4 linked regions of the Drosophila melanogaster genome follow. The protein of the gene in region 4 purifies or fractionates together with the protein of the main gene of each other region. This does not show direct contact. Each region holds a gene or a part of one and is shown on either strand. Other genes may lie near its edges. The genes, in order: Taf10, Taf5, Nipped-A and Ada3.

Region 1 (2,937 bases), on a different chromosome or scaffold from region 4:
CACCCGGCGAGCGCATCAAGGTGCTCCTGCAGACGCAGCAGGGTCAGGGTGGCGAGCGCAAGTACAACGGCATGATCGACTGCGCCGGCAAGCTATACAAGGAGGGTGGACTTCGCAGCGTTTTCAAGGGCAGCTGCGCCACAATGCTCAGGGATTTGCCCGCCAACGGGCTGTACTTCCTGGTCTACGAGGCGCTGCAGGATGTGGCCAAGTCGAAGTCAGAGACGGGACAAATCAGTACTGCCTCAACGATTTTCGCAGGTGGAGTGGCGGGCATGGCCTACTGGATTCTGGGCATGCCAGCCGACGTGTTAAAGAGCCGCCTACAATCGGCTCCCGAAGGCACCTACAAGCACGGCATACGCAGTGTCTTCAAGGATCTGATTGTCAAGGATGGACCTCTGGCCTTGTACCGCGGCGTGACGCCCATCATGCTCCGAGCCTTCCCAGCCAACGCTGCCTGCTTCTTCGGCATTGAGTTGGCTAACAAATTCTTTAACATCGTAGCTCCAAATTTCTAGTTTGTCTAATAAAGAAAGTGCCTCGCTAAAATGTTTTTACAACTTGAAGAAAACTAGCTATATTTGTGTGCCCAATTCAAAACTTTAGAGCTTAACTAAATCTAAACGAAATACTGCGGCTTGCGCATGGTGATGCCGTGGTCCGCGAGTGCCGGCACCAGGTCCTCCATGGCCAGCGTGTACTTCCTGTCCTTGGGGTTTTTCTTGTCCTTGCTGGAACTGTGTCCGCTGGAATGCTGGATGTTCGTGGTGCGCGTCTTGCAGTGCTGCAGTGCGTCGTTGGCAATATCCGAGATGAACTTCTGCGCGGACACCGAGACGAGGCGCACTATCTTGGGGTCCACTGTGCAGAAGCCAGCCTGCAGATTTAATCCAATATTAGAAATGCTACAAAGAATAGTTTCCGGTATATAGCTACCGTTTTCAAGATGTGCATGGTGAGGGCGTCTGGTATGGTGGGCGAGTAGTCCTCCAGCTGCTTTATCAGCTCATCCATCTCCGATTCCTCCGTCGTCAGAGGAACCTCCTCCACGTCCGGTTGCTCCTCGTCGGAATGCAGTTCGGACTGCATTAGTGGCGAGTCTATATCCTCCTCCTCGGTGTCCGTGGCCGATGTTACGGATTCTGCGGGTGTAACACTGATGTCCTCGCCATCGGAAGCCATTGTTTTCCACTTTTTAATTGTTTATTTCCAGAAATTTGTTATCTCAGCTGGCGTGTATATGTGTGTATGTTTATATTGTAATCGATGACGAACCGTAAGAAGAATCGATAGCACTGGCAGCAACAATACGGAATAATTCGATAACTAGCATCTCCCATCACTACGTCTGCACTGTGTTTAATTTGTATTGTACACTTTTTTCGATGGTGGGCTCCAATTTCGGAATTATTTACCACAACAGCGCCGGTGGCGCAAGCAGTCATGGACAATCCTCGGGAGGAGGTGGCGGTGGAGATCGGGATAGGACCACACCATCTTCGCATCTCAGCGACTTCATGTCGCAGCTGGAAGATTATACTCCATTGATTCCGGATGCGGTCACCTCGCACTATCTCAACATGGGAGGCTTTCAGTCGGACGACAAGCGCATCGTTCGGCTGATCAGCCTAGCCGCCCAGAAGTACATGTCCGACATCATCGACGATGCACTGCAGCACTCCAAGGCGCGCACCCATATGCAAACCACCAATACACCGGGAGGATCGAAGGCCAAGGACCGCAAGTTCACCTTGACCATGGAGGATCTGCAGCCGGCTTTGGCCGACTACGGTATTAATGTTAGGAAAGTGGACTATAGTCAGTAGATAATGGCATGCATTGTAGTAGTTTTTTTCTCATTAAAAATAATGTATCTTAAGATCTGTGTTTTGGGAATTTATTGCGAAAGACCTTGGGATCTTAATGCATTCTCATTCTTTCAAGAAATCCATTTAGTAAAGGGATTTAAGTCCATAGAATGCGTAACTAATCGAGCATATACAAGGTAATTTGTTTTTTTTTATAATGTTATACAAAAGCTATTAACTAGGCGGTTAATACTAGGAGTATGTTTACTGGCATGTTATGAATTTTCTGAAACTGCGAGATGTTCCTCCAGCCACCCGGAAGGCCAGGACTCCCGTAAGTATGGTGACCAAGTAGTTTATCAGCAGAGTGGTCGTGTAAAGCTCATTGGCATTGAGCAGAGTTATCAGGGAGACGAACAGGTGGCTGAAAACCACATAGCCTATGTGGATATAGTTGTTTGTGTCGAATGCGTTGAAGAAAATAACGCTCCAGAAGGTGTGCAGCAGGATAATCGACAACGCCTGGGCAGCCGAGGTGACGAAGAATAGCTCAGTTCCGCCCTTCAAGCCCATGGTGCCGGGACCACTCTAAAAACCAAAAGATCTGTCATTGCTCGGAGCACATTACGCACCTTTGCTGCACTCACCATATCAGCCAGCACATTGACCAGTGCAAACATCCCGGATATAATGCCGAATCCCAAGCCGGAGACATAGGCCAGGATGTGCTTGTTGTCCGTCACTCGCGTGTCCTCCGCCACGGCGTGCAATCCCTGCTCCGTGCTGCGCAGTATCCGGTAGATGATGTACCGGAAGGCTTCCTGGAAGCACACCGAGAAGACCACGCCAAATGCCAGGAACTCCTTCAGCGGAATCAGGGCATACCACAGGGAAGAGATCAGCAGGGAAAGCAGCCAGAAGAATGCCGCCGCAATCAGAATGATGATCCGCACTGGATCATTGGCGATGGTGAAGACGAACAAGGCGAAGGGCGGTCCGAAGGCGATGAAGGTGCAGCCAAAGAACTCGGGCAACGTCATCTTGTCTTTGTATTATTACTGTTTTTTCTTTTGCTCTGTGGGTGTTTTGGTTTACTTGGGAAGAGGAAGCAGAGACTCGCATAGAG
Region 2 (4,844 bases), on a different chromosome or scaffold from region 4:
CGCTGAGGGCGTCAACTCGTCCAGCATTGAGTGGAAAGTTGACGGTGAAGTGGAGAAGGTCCTGTGGCATCCCACACAGACCGACTACTTCATCGTGGGCACCAACGATGGCACCTTGCATTACGCCGACAAACGTTCTCCTGGACAACTGCTGTGGTCCGTAAAGGCCCACAACGAGGAAATCTCCGGTGTGTGCTTCAACAACCAGAAGCCTAATCTGCTGACCTCCACCTCCACGGAGGGCACCCTAAAGGTGTGGAACTTTGATGGCACAGAGGCAAAGCACGTCTACGAGCACGAGTTCAACATGGGTCGCTTGCAGTGCATGCGCCAGTGCCCCGAGGATCCCTACACCCTGGCCTTCGGCGGAGAGAAGCCTCCGCGCTGTGCGATCTTTAACATCAAGAACTCGATAGCCGTGCGCCGAACGTTTGGAATCCCTGATGCAGAGTAGGCAAATCGTACAGCTACGTATTTATCTGTGTATATGCTTTATATGACTTTTAAATAAATATGAATTATATATAAGAACCTTAATGATTGACTTTTATATTAATTAAAATTTATTGATAACTTGCGCATATATGCACTTTACACTTTTATGCTTAAACAACTAATCGACATTTCAGGGGGGATGGGTCACAAACGAAATACAAAACATTAATCCTAAACATTCCGAGCATTCCTTAACACTACATTACGTATACCAAATAAGCTTATCTGTGCTCCTAACTCTTGAATAGACCCACGCACATCAGGAGATTTCGGCGCGTAAAGTGCAGGCTGACAAATGGCGAGTTCTTGCTGGGGAAAGTACGCATGAGGTAGACGTCCTCGTCGTTCTCATCCTGATGGTGCGACACAGTGATGTGATTGCTGATATAGTCTTCGGTAACCTTGTGAAAGTCCCACAGAGTTAGATTGTTATCCAAGCCGGCTGCAGCCAGGACTGTTCCATCGCGACTAAAGGTGATCGTGGTCACAGTGCTAGTGTGCCTCAACAGGGTGGTGACCAGGGATCCGTTCGACAGATCCCAGATGATGATATTGTGATCTACTGAACCCGAGGCCAGATACCGGCCGCAGGCGGAGAAGGCCAGAGAACTCACCGATCCCTTGTGGCCCGTCATCAGGCGTACCGACTGACCGGTCATGTTGTCCCACAGGCGTACCGTGCGATCGCTAGAACCGGTGGCCACATAATTGGAATTGGGATGAAATTGTACACAATCCACGTCCGACAAGTGACCCACGAATACGCGCAACGCTTGATTGGAATCCGTGGCCCACAGACGAGCAGTTTTGTCGTACGAACAAGAAACAAAATAGTAGCCATGCGGCGCAAAGCGAACATCCCACACCGGGTAAACGTGCCCGCGGTAGGTGACTACGCAGGACCAGGTGAGCAGAGACCACAGCCTTATGGTGCTGTCCTCGGAACATGAGAGCAACAGGTTCATCTCGGGGGCAAAGGCACAGCGGTATACGGGTCCGGTGTGACCCATTAAGCTCCTGGTTACCTCACCACTTCGGTCATCCAGCATACGCACATTGATATCCGCCGATTCCTTGTCCAGTTCGCGAAGGGAATCTGCATCCTTCAGCGTACGCAGCTTCGCGGGCGTCAATGACCAAATCCTCACGCTAGAATCGCCAAATCCACAGGCCAACATCGTGGAATCGTCTGAAATCTCGGCACAGGTTACGCCCTGATGGGAATTAAGCACCGTGTAGAAGACGGCAGAGGGCAGTTGATCCTTGCTGAGGGCTAAACGCTTGCTGGCTTCCCTGAGAGCCTTAAGCTTTAGCAACTTGTCCGAATCCTTCAGTTCCGGCAGGGGAATTCTGTCGATGGATGGAGCATTCGGATCCGACTTGGACTTTTTCGACAGCAGGGGATCCTTTTTTGGCTTTTTCTTTTTCGGACGATCCGGGGCATCCGGATCATCGTCCTCCTCCTCTGGTGCCGGCGCTGGAGTGGTCAGAGTCTGAAAGTCCACCTCCTTGAGCAGTCCGTAGTACACCCGCATTTTGTTGTCCTGTCGCTTGGCCTCTCCGAGGTGCGAGCCCGCGGTGGCGACGCACTGCAGCTTGTTGCGCGCCATGCCCTCGTATGTGTCGAAATGCAAGTACTTGGAAACAATATCTGCCACCACTTCCTGCCGGCGATCCTGAATGTGTCGCTTGAACAGAGAGTGCGAGTCCCTGGACATGCGAATGACAAACTTATCCTGCTCCATGGCTACTACGAGGTCATTCTCCAGCAGCTCCTCGGGCTTAGACAGCAAAAGAAGGTTGAAAAGACCCTCTATGTAGTAGCCGTCGAGATCGCATTTGTACTTCTCAATGAATTCTTTGGCCTTCTCCCTTAGTCCACTGGCGAGGATCTTGAAGTAGATCTGCACCAGAATTGGGTACAGAACCATGGACAGCTCATGCTTGTATATGTCCAGGGAGTCCTCAACGAAAGTGCGCAGCTCCTTGTATGCCTGCTCATAGTGCTGAGCATCAAAGCTGTCGTCGTCGATGAACTTGGCCAGTTCCTCTGCAGCATTGGCCTCCGTCACCGCGGACTGTTTATGACCCTGCGCCGGAGATTGGACATGTTTCCGCTCCCGGTTGGCATCGCCAGCTCCCAAAACTGCGCCCAGCACCTGCTGAACATCACTTTCGCTGATTTCCGACAATTCCACACTGCTCACATTCGCCTCTTGGCAGAGCAGCTCCTCAGTGCTCTTCAGCTGGTACTTTTTGATGAGTTTCAGCAGGCACAGCAGCTCACGCTTGTCGTGGGACAATTGAGTACCGTTTCCCCCGTTTATATTGCTCACTTCCAGGCTCATTTTCGCGGAAAATTGAAATATATGGAACTTGTGTACTATTTTGTTATGCGTGGAAAAGTGTGACCAGGTTGGCATCGGTTGAAAACGGCCAAGTGGAGAATGAAATATACTAAAATGCACCAAGTACAGTCAAAATATACAGTAGCCACTAGCGAAGACGGATTCTAAAAATAAATTGTATTAATACATTATAAATTATATCTTTTTGCCAATTTTTGGAATTACTTAAAATATAATGACATATTTCATTCTTTCATTTTACTACAAAATTAATATTTAACTTTTATGCAGGTCAAAGAAATTATTTGAAGATGTGCTTATAAAGGTCTTACTGTGGACAGCTGACTGAATACTTTTAGTATTTTTTGAGCAAATATCTTACCAGAATCAAAACATTCGTAATGAAGAGGAGAGTAATTGTGAAAAAGGTAAAATACAAAGTAACTGGCCAAATAAACAAGCTAATTTTTATAGCAGAGGGTAATAATTTGCTGTGCATTAACAGAATTAACTTGCCATTGCATATTTCAGTGTATTTGTCTGGCGCCTATCCCCCAACTCCTTGAACTTTGACACCGCCTCCTCGAAATTAACCCTTGTACTCGTGCTTTCTGTTGTGTTTAGTCCATATTTATTGTAAAAAATGAATGAAAATGATGATGCGGTAGGTCCATATGTAACATTTAAGCCATATTAGCTAATATCGTGATCAATTCCCGCAGAAAAAAGTCGTCGGCAAGCGGAATTCGGTGTCGTTCGATCAACAAGATCCAGGACAGCCGAGATTTAGCTTCTCTGGGAGAGTACAGGAGCTAGTCGAGGGCTACAATTCGGCCATACAGCTGCTGGCGCCCAAGTGGCCCTGGTTCCTCTACCCCGGATATCTGACATACGCCGTATACTGGCGTTACGCCAAATATTACAAGGGCAAGTTTCTGCTGACCCCCATTCCGAACCGCCTCTACGATCTGCTGATCAAGAACGAGCAGATTAAGTCGGAGCACCTGGTGTTCGCCAGTCAGGAGGTGTACGAAAACTATGCGGAATCGCCGGACGTCAACTTTGTCAACTTGGTTATCCGCGGCAGGAGGGTAAGAATCGGTAAGCCGCTAGCTTCAGACGAAGGAAATATGACCCAAACGGTTATCAAGCAAATGCTCCAGGAGGCGCCGCATACGATTGTGGCCCAGATCTTGCCGGCTGCACAGTGCCAACCCAATTGTCTGTACGTTCAGGTGGGTATCTAGTTCTAAATAAATGGAATATTTTCTATAATTCTACATCGTGTAAAATTTCAGGAGAACTTCTACGGCAACATATTGGATCGCTTTCAAATCCGCTCCAACTGCTGGGTGCAGGTAGAGCATTTTGCCGATGAGCAGACAATACCTGGAATAGCAACCAAAGCACATGTGTACTTAGTCGCAGATCCCCATGAACTTCCCGCCGAACTGACAGAGGTCATCCTGAGCAACTATTTCAATACACCTCGACTCATGCATCGTGGACATACCTACCGCATCGAGGTGAACGCAGAGTTGGTGGGCACTGCGACTTATGCCCACTATTACCTGATATTCGCTCACCTACGCCACGTCCACCTAAAGTGTATTCACCTGGAGACAAAGGGCAGCGAGTTCGAGCTGCAAGCGATTGTTGCCAAAAACTTTAGCAACCTTGTTCAAGTGCCTGCATCTCACAGTTTCCTGCCTCGTCAAGTGCTTGACAGCATGGCCATCGTTGAGAACTATCCAAGTGGACTTCGAAAGCCCTATAAGCTGTTGCGCTCCTCAGTAGATGCTTTCCTGCCAAAAAAGTCCGCCTGCCTGTCGTCAAAGCACATATTTCCTGTGTTCCTCCTGCAAGGCGAGCGAGGATCGGGCAAATCAAAGCTTGTGAGCGCCGTAGCCCAAGAGTTGGGGATGCATATTTACGGAGCAGATTGCGCAGAGATCGTTTCGCAAGTTCCCTCCCACACGGAGATGAAGCTAAAAGCCGTAT
Region 3 (4,961 bases), on a different chromosome or scaffold from region 4:
CTAATACGGTGGCAGTGGCTACGAGCATAACATCCTTACTAAGATTCTGAGCAAGAAGAGTAGCAGACGTTACGCAGAGTGCAGATGTGAATCAGAAAAAAGTTCGAACCTTTTTGCTAATTTTAATTGATCAGACGGGGTCAGGTTTTTAGGGCGCTCCCAGGAGCATTACAGAAGGCACATGTTGAAGGGCTGAGACTTGGGGCAAGAAGGGCGGAACTACGGAACTCAGATGTTGTATTACATTCTACCTATGGCGCATAGCTTGCCAATGCGAAATCCAGTCTCCAGAGTCCTGCTGCTTCAAGTCTTCCAAATGCTCCTCCTATTTGGGCTGACTCGGCGTGTCCAGCTATTACTTGGGCGATATTGCAATTCAGCGATTTGTTCGATATTTCCAGTTTAAAAACTCCCCCGAACAGAGGATTTAAGAGTCACGAGAATACATCAAATTATTTCCAATTTCGTAAAAAGCCAGTTCTTCGAGCTCGTTGAGATTTTTCTGTTTCTGAAGCTCATCGATTATCTCCAACCTCACGGACAGCAGCTTCCGTTATTTGTTGTACTTCCATTACATATTTGACCCACTTGGATGGTTCCGCTGCCGACAGCTTGGATATGATTGCCAAAATTGATTTACATTTTCTACAATATTTGGCCATTGCCTCTCCTTTCGTTATACATACATGCTTTACATTATGCCTTTCTGTGAACTCCTTTTACGCAATCGAGGTAAATGCTGAGCCTGTATCGATTACAATACATGTTGGAAAGCCAAAAATACTTGACCAGTCGTGTAATCGTCGTCCTGCTGGGCTTTTTTAATACGTAATCTCTGTAGTAACCCTCATACTCTATGGAAAGCGACTAAGGCAGTCAACATGCTTAATTTTTTCTGCGGCACGGTGTTCTACTGTAAAAGTGAAGTCTTGAATTTACATAATCCATGGTCCTACATCTCTCGGTACGTCTTGTTTGGTTGTAGTCTGCTAAAAAGCGACACAATCTGTAATGAGCTTGAACTATATTCCTAGCAGGTAGTGACGAAACTTCTTCATACCTATGTACGCTGCTTTGTCTTCTTAGTAATAGCTATGTCGCTTTCATTCGGCTTCGGAAGTCTTCCTGCTCCAATAATAAACCGGATGAAAACTGCCGTCCACCATCTGCCGCAACACAGCTCCAAATTCATCCTTTAAAGAGCCACTGTGTAGTTCTGTCTCTGCATCTCTTGTGTAAATTTGCCGTACGGGAATGTCTGAGTCGTCTTTTAATTGCTGTATGGCTTAATGTTCACCAATGTAGAAAAGTGCATCTTTTTTCAAAAAAAATTTTCAGCGGACGCGCGATTAAAGCATATCCTGGAACAAATTTTCTGAAAAATCCTGTTAGCCCCAGAAATGATTGTACAGCTTTAATATTTTTTGGCCTGCCACATTTGCCCACCTTCAATGGCATGTCCCAAAAAGTCAATGCGAGTTTGCAAAAATCTGCTCCTTTTCAATTTGAGGCGGTACTACGCAAACAGGTTCTACGGCGACATTGTAGATTGCAGCATAATCTCGTATAAACCATTATTTTCCTTATCCCGCAAAAAAGTATATCCATGCAATGTCTTAAAACAATGATATTTTTTCCCTTTTTTGATCGCACGTTTCGGACATCATTGGACAAAACTCTAGTAAAATTTATTTCTTAGATTTGAGATGTGAGGCGGGTGAATATAAGAAGGCACATTAAAAATCTTCTAATCCGTGCCAGATATAGCCACCGCCAACTGATGCAAAATGGAGTCATTATGGAACAGTATCATCCGTATCAGCGTAAACACTTAAAGCCTAACTTTGATGACATATTTTATTATATATGATTATACCCGTTGCTCGTAGAGTAAAAGCAAAAAAAAAACCTTTAGTTTACATTATTCGGTAACTCCGCTTTGGATACTGCTTGTTTGCATTAGGTGGAGTCTCCCTCTCTGCTTATTCTTTTATCTGAGAACAGTGCTGAATATGTAAGCAGGCCCCAGACAACATGGGTTAAGAAACTTCCGCTGATCAGGATCACTAGCCGAGTCTACAGAGACTTAGTCGCATGTTACCCCGCCGGCAAGCTGTTCAAAACACCCCACGCCCACATATTTGAGAAATCTGTTGAATTTTTTATTTTATGTGACTTTCAAATTTTTATTGGTTTGCCAAACATAATACTACCTAAGAAAACCTACGGACGTAATAAATAATAAATGTGTTTCAAATTTTAAAATTAATGAAGTCGACATCGATAATAAAAATATACTCTTTTTTTGCAATCAAAGTTATGCTTTAAATAATACTTCTTCTGGCAATGTATGCATAATATCTGCGCAAAACTTAAAGTTGCGTAGCACAAACACAATGCACGGTCGTTTTAAATATCAGAAACAGTGGTTTTCAGTTTTAAAAGATTGTTACTAGGGCACCGAAAGGTTTCCCTATAGTACTATATAGATAGCTTTACATAAATAAGTATATAAAATATATTAATAAAATAATTGTATTGTACAAACATAAAAGTTCCGATTATTGGGAGTTACAAATGTAAACACAAAATATTTTCAACTTTGCATTTTAAAAGATAACTACATATATTTAAGCCGAAATTCATTGACAGTTATTTCAACCAAACATGGTTTCTTCATTTAAGGCCCATGCAATGGTGAATTTTAAAACTTACGTGTTGCATTGTATTTTCTTGAATGAACTGAGGTTCGCCATCCTGAAGTATCCGCATAAATATTTTTAAAGAATTATCTAAGAACGACGGATATGCCGGACTTTGCATTATCATTTCAAAGTGTTCACTTAGCTCTTGAGTAGCTTTCAGCTTAAGTTCGTCTTTAGAAGAGGAATCATTTAAAATATTTAAATAATTCCGAAATGTATTCACCGGTACATTTTCAATAACCGACATTGTGCCTTTTAACTCGTTCAACAACTTGACCGCTGTAAACAAAAAGGAATAGTCGGAAATTGTATGACCGATATATTCGATTTAATTGTTTGTCAAGATAGCATATAAGAAATTTTGAAACAGGAACGCAAAAATATTTTAGAAATGCTTCAATTTTTTATATAATATAGAGCTCCCACAGAGATGCATCTATATTAAACCTTTCACAACCTTCAGTGTTAAAAATTGGCACGGAATTAATTCCATCTTATTTGCATGTTTACTGCAGGATACAGGCTTGTCTATCTTTAAGTTAAATTTAAATGTTTTTTATTGCTATTTTATTTCAATAACTGTGTTATTCTATAAATATTTACGTGTAGGGAAATCAACATACAAAATACTAAATAATGTGTATTGTTAGTGATGGATTTAATCACAAGAACATTTAGCTCCGTTTATTTGTGGATGTAGTAATAATTCGGTATAACTAGATTTTTTATTATGTTCTTTAATATAGTCGGTCGAAATGCTCGGATTATTACTTCAATGGTATAATAAATAAAGGAGTGCCAATATTTCAATATTCAATATTCAATATTCAATGGTGGGTCATATCGTCATAGATGACGAAAGAAACGGATAAACCAAATTCATTTTTTCAATAAGGAGCTAATCCAGCTTCATTTAGACTTATTTACCTTGAATTGAAGGCCTGTCAAATTACTTATGCCGAAACAAAAAATCATCATATTTCATTAAGTTTCTTATAACTTTTTAAATTTAAATAAAAACAATTTCGTTTGTTCATTTTTAAGTTTATATTAATTACACACAAAAAATAAAAAATAGTCAATACTACCATATCAAGCCATTTAAAAGTTTCACTGACAAGTGTGCAGCTTTTTTTTGTCAAAATACTTATGCCGACTAGTGTATATTTCAAAAGATCCCTGTGGCGGCCGGCATTGCAATCAACTAAGCATCGGAACGCGACGTTGACACCTAACACTCCAGTGCGGTCGATCGAGCGATCGAACTGCAAGACTTCTAATTATTGAAGGCAATATTAATAATATGACTTCAATGACTTCAACCGACAGCCAAGTGAACTGAAATAAATAAGCTGAGTAATGGTATAAGCCAAAGCATATTAAGAAAAGCAAGATAAAGAATTTTGAAGCCGAGCTCTACAGAGAGGAGCTGTGGTACAAGCCAAAACATATAAAAAAAGAAATTAATAAAAACACATAAACAAATAAATCTAAAAATAGAAGAAAAGAAATTATTACCAGCTATTAAGAAAAGAGCTAGGTAATTAATCTGAGTTCCATAAAAAAATAATAATAATATAAAGGTCGGGTGGAGCAGGCTACCCTCCGCAAGCCAAAGAAGAAACAACAAACAAACAAACGAAAACAACTAATCCCCAAATGTAAATCGGGGATATTATTGAATTAGGGATGGGTAATAATTACAAGACAAATTAAACATCTAATAGTTGTTTTCGTTATAAACCCCAACTCTAGGTCCCATATTGGAAATAAAACCATTGTCATAAAACCGTTTCAGTGCGAGGCGATCGACGGGCAACCCTCCGAAATGAATGGAAGAAATGGCTACGGGCTTTTACAATATATCTCGACGCCGAGGCAGAACTCAACGTTTGAGAGACAAGTATTTAGTATTTAATCTGATCGAAATCATCCTTGCGACAAGACAAGTCAGGACATGTCTTGCGTCATCTCCTGGATCTCCACAATATACGAGTCTAATTCCTTGACGTTTACGAATAGATCAGCCAATTAAACCGCTGTGGAAAGTTTTAATCTTGGAATTGTTAAGGCCCATAGTGAAGTAACTCCTGGCTTGGCACAGGGCAGATGGATTTTCTATTATCTATAAGTCTTCGATTGCAAGTATAAGCACGCTCCACAAACTGATAGGTAGCATCACAGAATCCATGCAATTCAACGGAAGCCTTAGGCCGCATTACGAATCATGGATTTAAAGTTCTGTTCGTGGCCCAG
Region 4 (5,137 bases):
TGATACGGGATCGGGTGGCGGGCGAAAGGGATCGACCAGTCAAGCAAGATGCACCGCGGCATACATGAAGTACAATGAATCTTTATACCCACAAACATCATCTAGCATACATTCAGAGGAAGGCCACTGACGACGTGTTCACCCAAGACTAAAAACTTGCACATATTAGAAGATCAGATTTGACTGCCATTTGCTACGTATAATAAAGTTTGTTTCTGGATATATTTGCCTGGCGATTAGCGTTCTAGAGATAGCCAATCCGCGTGGCCCGGAAGGGCTTCCTCCGATCGAAGATGGCCGGCTCGCTTGTTTGGCTTTAATTAGCCGTACGCTGGAGTTGCCGACTTTGATTGCGCCTTATCGGCTGGGCAAACAAGATCGAAGCAACGGCAGAGGATTCCCCACATCCGCTGGAGTTCACTTGCCCGCTTCGTCGGCCAGATCGAGCTCAAAGCGTACGCAGCGTTCGCCCAGCGCGGTGGTTTCTCTCCTCCCAAACTCACTCCCATGGTGGAAAATTCTGTGCTTTACTCTCGATAGTGACGACTTTATTGCCGCGCGATAACTTAAGCTATACAAAGTGTATGTATTTGGGAGTGTTAAATAGGGTGAATCAATATTTATAGTTGCGAAAGACATGAGGAAAACAACGTGCTCGTAAAATTTTGGGAAATTCCAGTAGCGGAAAGTTTTTCAGTTCATTTAGCGAATAATGCGAATCTCACCCTCCACTTTTATGTACACAAAATCAAATTTAGCATTTAGCATGTAAAATCTACGGATATCCATTTAATTTTCAGGCAATTACAAACAAATTGGCAAAAAACTGTAGGCTTACAGAATACGGAATACGTTACTAAGCAAGGAAAGGGAAATTATGATTTTGTAAAAGAACAGTTTAAAATACGCAAACGCTACTCTCCGCCACTTGAAGATCTTATCTAAATAATTAATTTCACTTTAATCTTGAACACTACATTCTATGAGCTAATGTATCTTTGTTAATGTACAGTCTGGTGACGAAGATAAGAATACGGGTTTGGAAGCTAGTCGAAAACGACTCAAAAGTGGCGTTCGATTTGGGGAAAACGAATGCCAAAACTCGAGGAAAACTTATGCAAAACATTTTCCGCCACCATGAGCGCATCTTCCCAAAACGTCCACAACTTGGATTGCGGACACTAGAGGCTACGTGTACGTGTCGAATAGCGTGGCTAATTTACAGTCTGGCGAAATGAAAGGAGTGGCGAGTAAGGAGGAGCAGCTCCTTCAGACGCACTGCAGCTTGAGGCTAGCGTCGCGGACCTGCCTCTTTGCCTGATGCATGGCCATTAGCTGGCACCAGCCCCAGGCCAGGCTCCTGTCCTACATCTTTGGCTCTAACAGGGAGTTGCCGGAGCCGCCGATGCAGGGCAGATGCATCTGCATACGCTCCAGCTGATCCGCAAGTAGGCGCTGCTCGTTGGTCAGCCGCAGTATCTCCTGCTTCTCCTCGATGGTGTGGCCCTTGCGCTTGGCCCGATACTGCAGCATTCGCTTGTAGCACTCGAGTATCTCCTGGTCCACCATGTCCAATTTCTGTTTGATGGCAATGCGCTTGATTTCCTCACTGGCAACGGCACGCAGTCGCTTCAATTCCTCGCTGTTAAACTGCGAAATGGTGCTGATTTCGGTCGTTACGCGCTTGATCTCCATCAGCACCTCGTCCACGTCTTCGTGGGCCGCAAACTCACTGGCATCGATCAGTCCGTTCTCGATGAGAGTCTTCTTCAGGCGCTGTTCGATGCCCACGCCGTGTTTCATCATGGCGAGAGATCGAAAGTTCCCGGAAGCAGCTGCTGCGGCAGCATTTGCCGAGGACGAGGAGTGCGAGTGGGTGTTCTCGTTGCTGCTGCTCGTGGTGCTGTTGCTGTGCTCGCCCACGGCGGCCTGTTCGCTGGGCAGCGTCATCAGGGACTCCTCCATTAAGGCGGACACCAAACGCTGGGTGAGTGGACCAGTGATGCTCTCATCCACCATGCCTTCGGCCTTTTTGAGCATTCCGCTGGAATTGTTCGATTTAATTCGAGCTCCGCCCGGCTGCAGCGCCTTTATATCCTCCTGGGCCCAAACTGTGGAGTAGTGGGGACCCAGAGGTGGCACTGGCGGCACCAGTGGACCCCAATACTGCTCCAGCAGGTCATCGATTAGGCGCAGATCCTCGTTGGTTAGAGGCATGCAGTAGGGCTCCACGGATAGCCAGAACTTGTTGGGCGTATCGTTCTTGGGCACCGTCATTTTCGGTAGCTGCGGCAGCGGCTGGTGATGCGGCAGCACGGATCCAGAGGCATTGGCGGCCGCCAGTGTGGGCAGATAGTCCATGCTGTCGTCGGTGTGCACGACCAAGGGGCTGTTCTTGGCCTGGTGCTTCGAGGTGCCGCCGGAAACGCCCTGTTGCTTGAGAATGGTCATCGAAGAGTGCTTTTTGCGCACGCCCGTTGGCTCATCCCGCTTGCGCTTCGATTGGCTAGAGGATGAGGCGCCTCCGCCGCCCAGCGGGCTGCCCAGACTCGTCGACGAGTTGCTGCCGATGCCCAGCAAGCCGTTGAGCATGCTAGCCGGACAAGGTGGCGATCCAGGCACACGGTCGAGCTTTCTTCGATCCTGGCGCTTCTCATCCTTGTCGAGGCTATCATACTCCGCTTTCAGGACGCGCGTGCGCAGCGCCACATTGGAGAGCATCTGTTCCAGCTCCAGTTGCACTGCATCCAGATCCTCGGCCGCCAAATGATCATCCGCCGGACGCTGCAGTGCCGCTGCAATGGTGGGCAGCAATTTGGGCACGTCCCGAGTGCGAATTATTGGTATAACGACGCCGCCGGGCGTGGCCAGCACCTCGGAGTCCAGGAAGGTGCTCGTTGGGGCGGATTTGCCGCCACCTGTGCCATTTGTGGGCAGTTTTCCAGCTCCTCCGGATGACGCAGAGATGCCAAAGCCACCGGAACCGAGCGAACCACTGAAGTGGGCCAGTTTGATATTCTTCAGGTTCGCACTCATGGAACGCGACTGCGACTGGTTGGGGACCTGTGTGTTAGCTAGATTGCGGATATATTTGCTGTTTTTCCTGCTTTTCTTGTGTTGTGAAAATCGCAATTTGTTTTGCGTCGATATGGCAGTGTGACCGTAGCGGAAGACGGGTAAATACTAATGTACAAGATGGTAAAATACTGGAATGGGCTACACGCGCGGGTTATGCACAGTGGGCCAAACAAAAAAAATTCTCATGAGTAGCTAAATATTTATAATTTAAGACATACTTAACTAGCATTTCATTAATTAACTTTAGCAGTAATTGAAACTGTTTATTTGACTTTATTTCAGCAATTGAAGATAACGGAACATTATCGCATGGATACATTTTCATACCACTTGATTTTATCCACAAAATAGTGAAAAATACTCTCTGCAACTATAACAGTGATCGTGCACAACAGAGCTGCTCCAGCGCTGTGCAACACTGGTGGCCGCGTAGCGCGCGTGCTTACCAATACTTTGCTTTTTTGTTCAGTTCTTTGTTGTTGTTTGGCGTTCGCATTTCGCCCGTCGTCGTCTGAATTTTTTAGTGATATGCGCGCTATTTCGGTGATAAGCAGTGTACTTAACAAATCAGCGACTGTTGACAATTTGTAATGGCCAGTGGGAGCAGCTTGCGATGTTAGAGTAGACCCATTCCCCCCCTTCCGCAGACGAACTGCAAGTGCAAACTGCAGTGTATGTATGTAATTTTATGTAATTGAACACCCATTTCCCAAACCCCACCCCCCCAAAATCCCACAAAGCATGCAAACACATCCAAACATTTGAACATCCAAGCACCCAAAACATCGAAGCATCCGATAATCTCGGACTGGTTGCCTCCAATTGCGCCTCGTTTGTCCAATTGTGAGGCGCAAATCACAAGACAAGTCGAATTGACGCTCAGCCGCCACGCCCCCTTCGCTGCTCACGACCACACCCCCCCTCCCCGCGGGCGGGAATCAACGAAAATCAAAAGCCAACATCCAGCGATTCAGTTCGGTTTAGTTGGGTTCAGTCGTGCCGACATATGCACAAATATCCCAGCTTCAAAACGCTGTTTCCCTTCGATTTGACTACACTTTCCCAACTGGGCATTTTCGCTATCAGAAGAGGTTTGCAATGCCACCTTTAAGCTATGATCTATCACCGAACTGCAAAAGTTTTTTATTTTCGTTCTACGCCAATTAACTTAACTTCGACTTGTCTATTTTACAATCAAAAAGTGCGAAGTGTATTGTTTAAGTTAAAATTCGATCCCCGAGAGTTTCGGTTCTAAAGATCCTAAAATAAACAGTGAAAACAATTTAATATAAATGAACAGCGGACAAAAGTGTTTTATTTAAGCTTGGTTTCATGTTTTGTATTCCATAAGATGTGTACATTAAAGAGAAGTGATATATTCGTTTCGAGTTTCTTTTGTTTGTTCTTCAATACAAAGATAAATACAAGCTTCCCCCATCTATTATCTCAAGTAAAAAGTGATCATCAGTCTATATAGTTCTTTGTTTCTTTAGTTAATTCTTTGTTTTTGCTATTTGCAATCTTGGCAATGTGAATATCATCTGGTAGATAGAACAACTGAAAATCGTAGCTAATTTGAATTTATATCTCGTCATAGAAAGGATAGTGTACACACAAACACGTTTGTTTTGCGAGATAATCCCATCGTGGATTGCACATAATATCTAGAACAATATGTCGAACAATAACCGCGGGCGGGTAAGGGTATTTGCAGTGCCGCCAAAACCTGAACAAACCCTCCGCTCTTGTTTTATTGATCAAATATTTGCGTCTACGTGTGTCGTCGTCGTCGTCGATGTGTTCCGTTCCGGCGATGTCTCAGCGATTATGGGGCTTTTGTGTGTCAGCTGTTGTTTGAAAACGGCACTAGCACATGTTTTATAAGCCCAGTCGCAGGCCAGTCGGCTCGTTATCAGTGCCAATTAAACCGGAGAAGAGAAATCTGTAACCACCGGCGATAGTGGCGATAAGGTCGCAGCCCTGAGATGATCGGGGATAGCTTCAGCGATGCACCCACCGGCTATGTCGATCGATCAGAGCGCAGCTCCTACCATCCATT

What was found.
Region 1: the proteins of Ada3 (region 4) and Taf10 purify together in Drosophila melanogaster (affinity purification with western blotting, with the first as the bait; one study listed by BioGRID). This does not show direct contact.
Region 2: the proteins of Ada3 (region 4) and Taf5 purify together in Drosophila melanogaster (affinity purification with western blotting, with the first as the bait; one study listed by BioGRID). This does not show direct contact.
Region 3: the proteins of Ada3 (region 4) and Nipped-A purify together in Drosophila melanogaster (affinity purification with western blotting; one study listed by BioGRID). This does not show direct contact.

What each region holds. Positions count from the first base shown.
Region 1 is NT_033779.5:2,766,229-2,769,165, reverse strand, and holds Taf10 (TBP-associated factor 10), read right to left. Parts: upstream 1,277-2,937; 5' UTR 1,186-1,276; coding exon 940-1,185; intron 881-939; coding exon 623-880; 3' UTR 554-622; downstream 1-553. Other genes in the region: colt (congested-like trachea), read left to right, coding at 1-521; Taf10b (TBP-associated factor 10b), read left to right, coding at 1,389-1,829; aph-1 (anterior pharynx defective 1), read right to left, coding at 2,076-2,399, 2,459-2,851. UniProt on the Drosophila melanogaster protein: TFIID is a multimeric protein complex that plays a central role in mediating promoter responses to various activators and repressors.
Region 2 is NT_033778.4:10,876,763-10,881,606, forward strand, and holds Taf5 (TBP-associated factor 5), read right to left. Parts: upstream 2,912-4,844; 5' UTR 2,844-2,911; coding exon 729-2,843; 3' UTR 550-728; downstream 1-549. Other genes in the region: nclb (no child left behind), read left to right, coding at 1-454; Pex6 (peroxin 6), read left to right, coding at 3,245-3,271, 3,566-4,078, 4,142-4,844. UniProt on the Drosophila melanogaster protein: TFIID is a multimeric protein complex that plays a central role in mediating promoter responses to various activators and repressors. May play a role in helping to anchor Taf4 within the TFIID complex.
Region 3 is NT_033778.4:5,248,014-5,252,974, forward strand, and holds the start of Nipped-A (Nipped-A), read right to left. Parts: upstream 3,010-4,961; 5' UTR 2,953-3,009; coding exon 2,716-2,952; intron 1-2,715. UniProt on the Drosophila melanogaster protein: Part of the Tip60 chromatin-remodeling complex which is involved in DNA repair. Upon induction of DNA double-strand breaks, this complex acetylates phosphorylated H2AV in nucleosomes and exchanges it with unmodified H2AV.
Region 4 is NC_004354.4:18,083,811-18,088,947, reverse strand, and holds Ada3 (transcriptional adaptor 3), read right to left. Parts: upstream 3,188-5,137; 5' UTR 3,037-3,187; coding exon 1,366-3,036; coding exon of another isoform or gene 1,270-1,365; 3' UTR 530-1,269; downstream 1-529.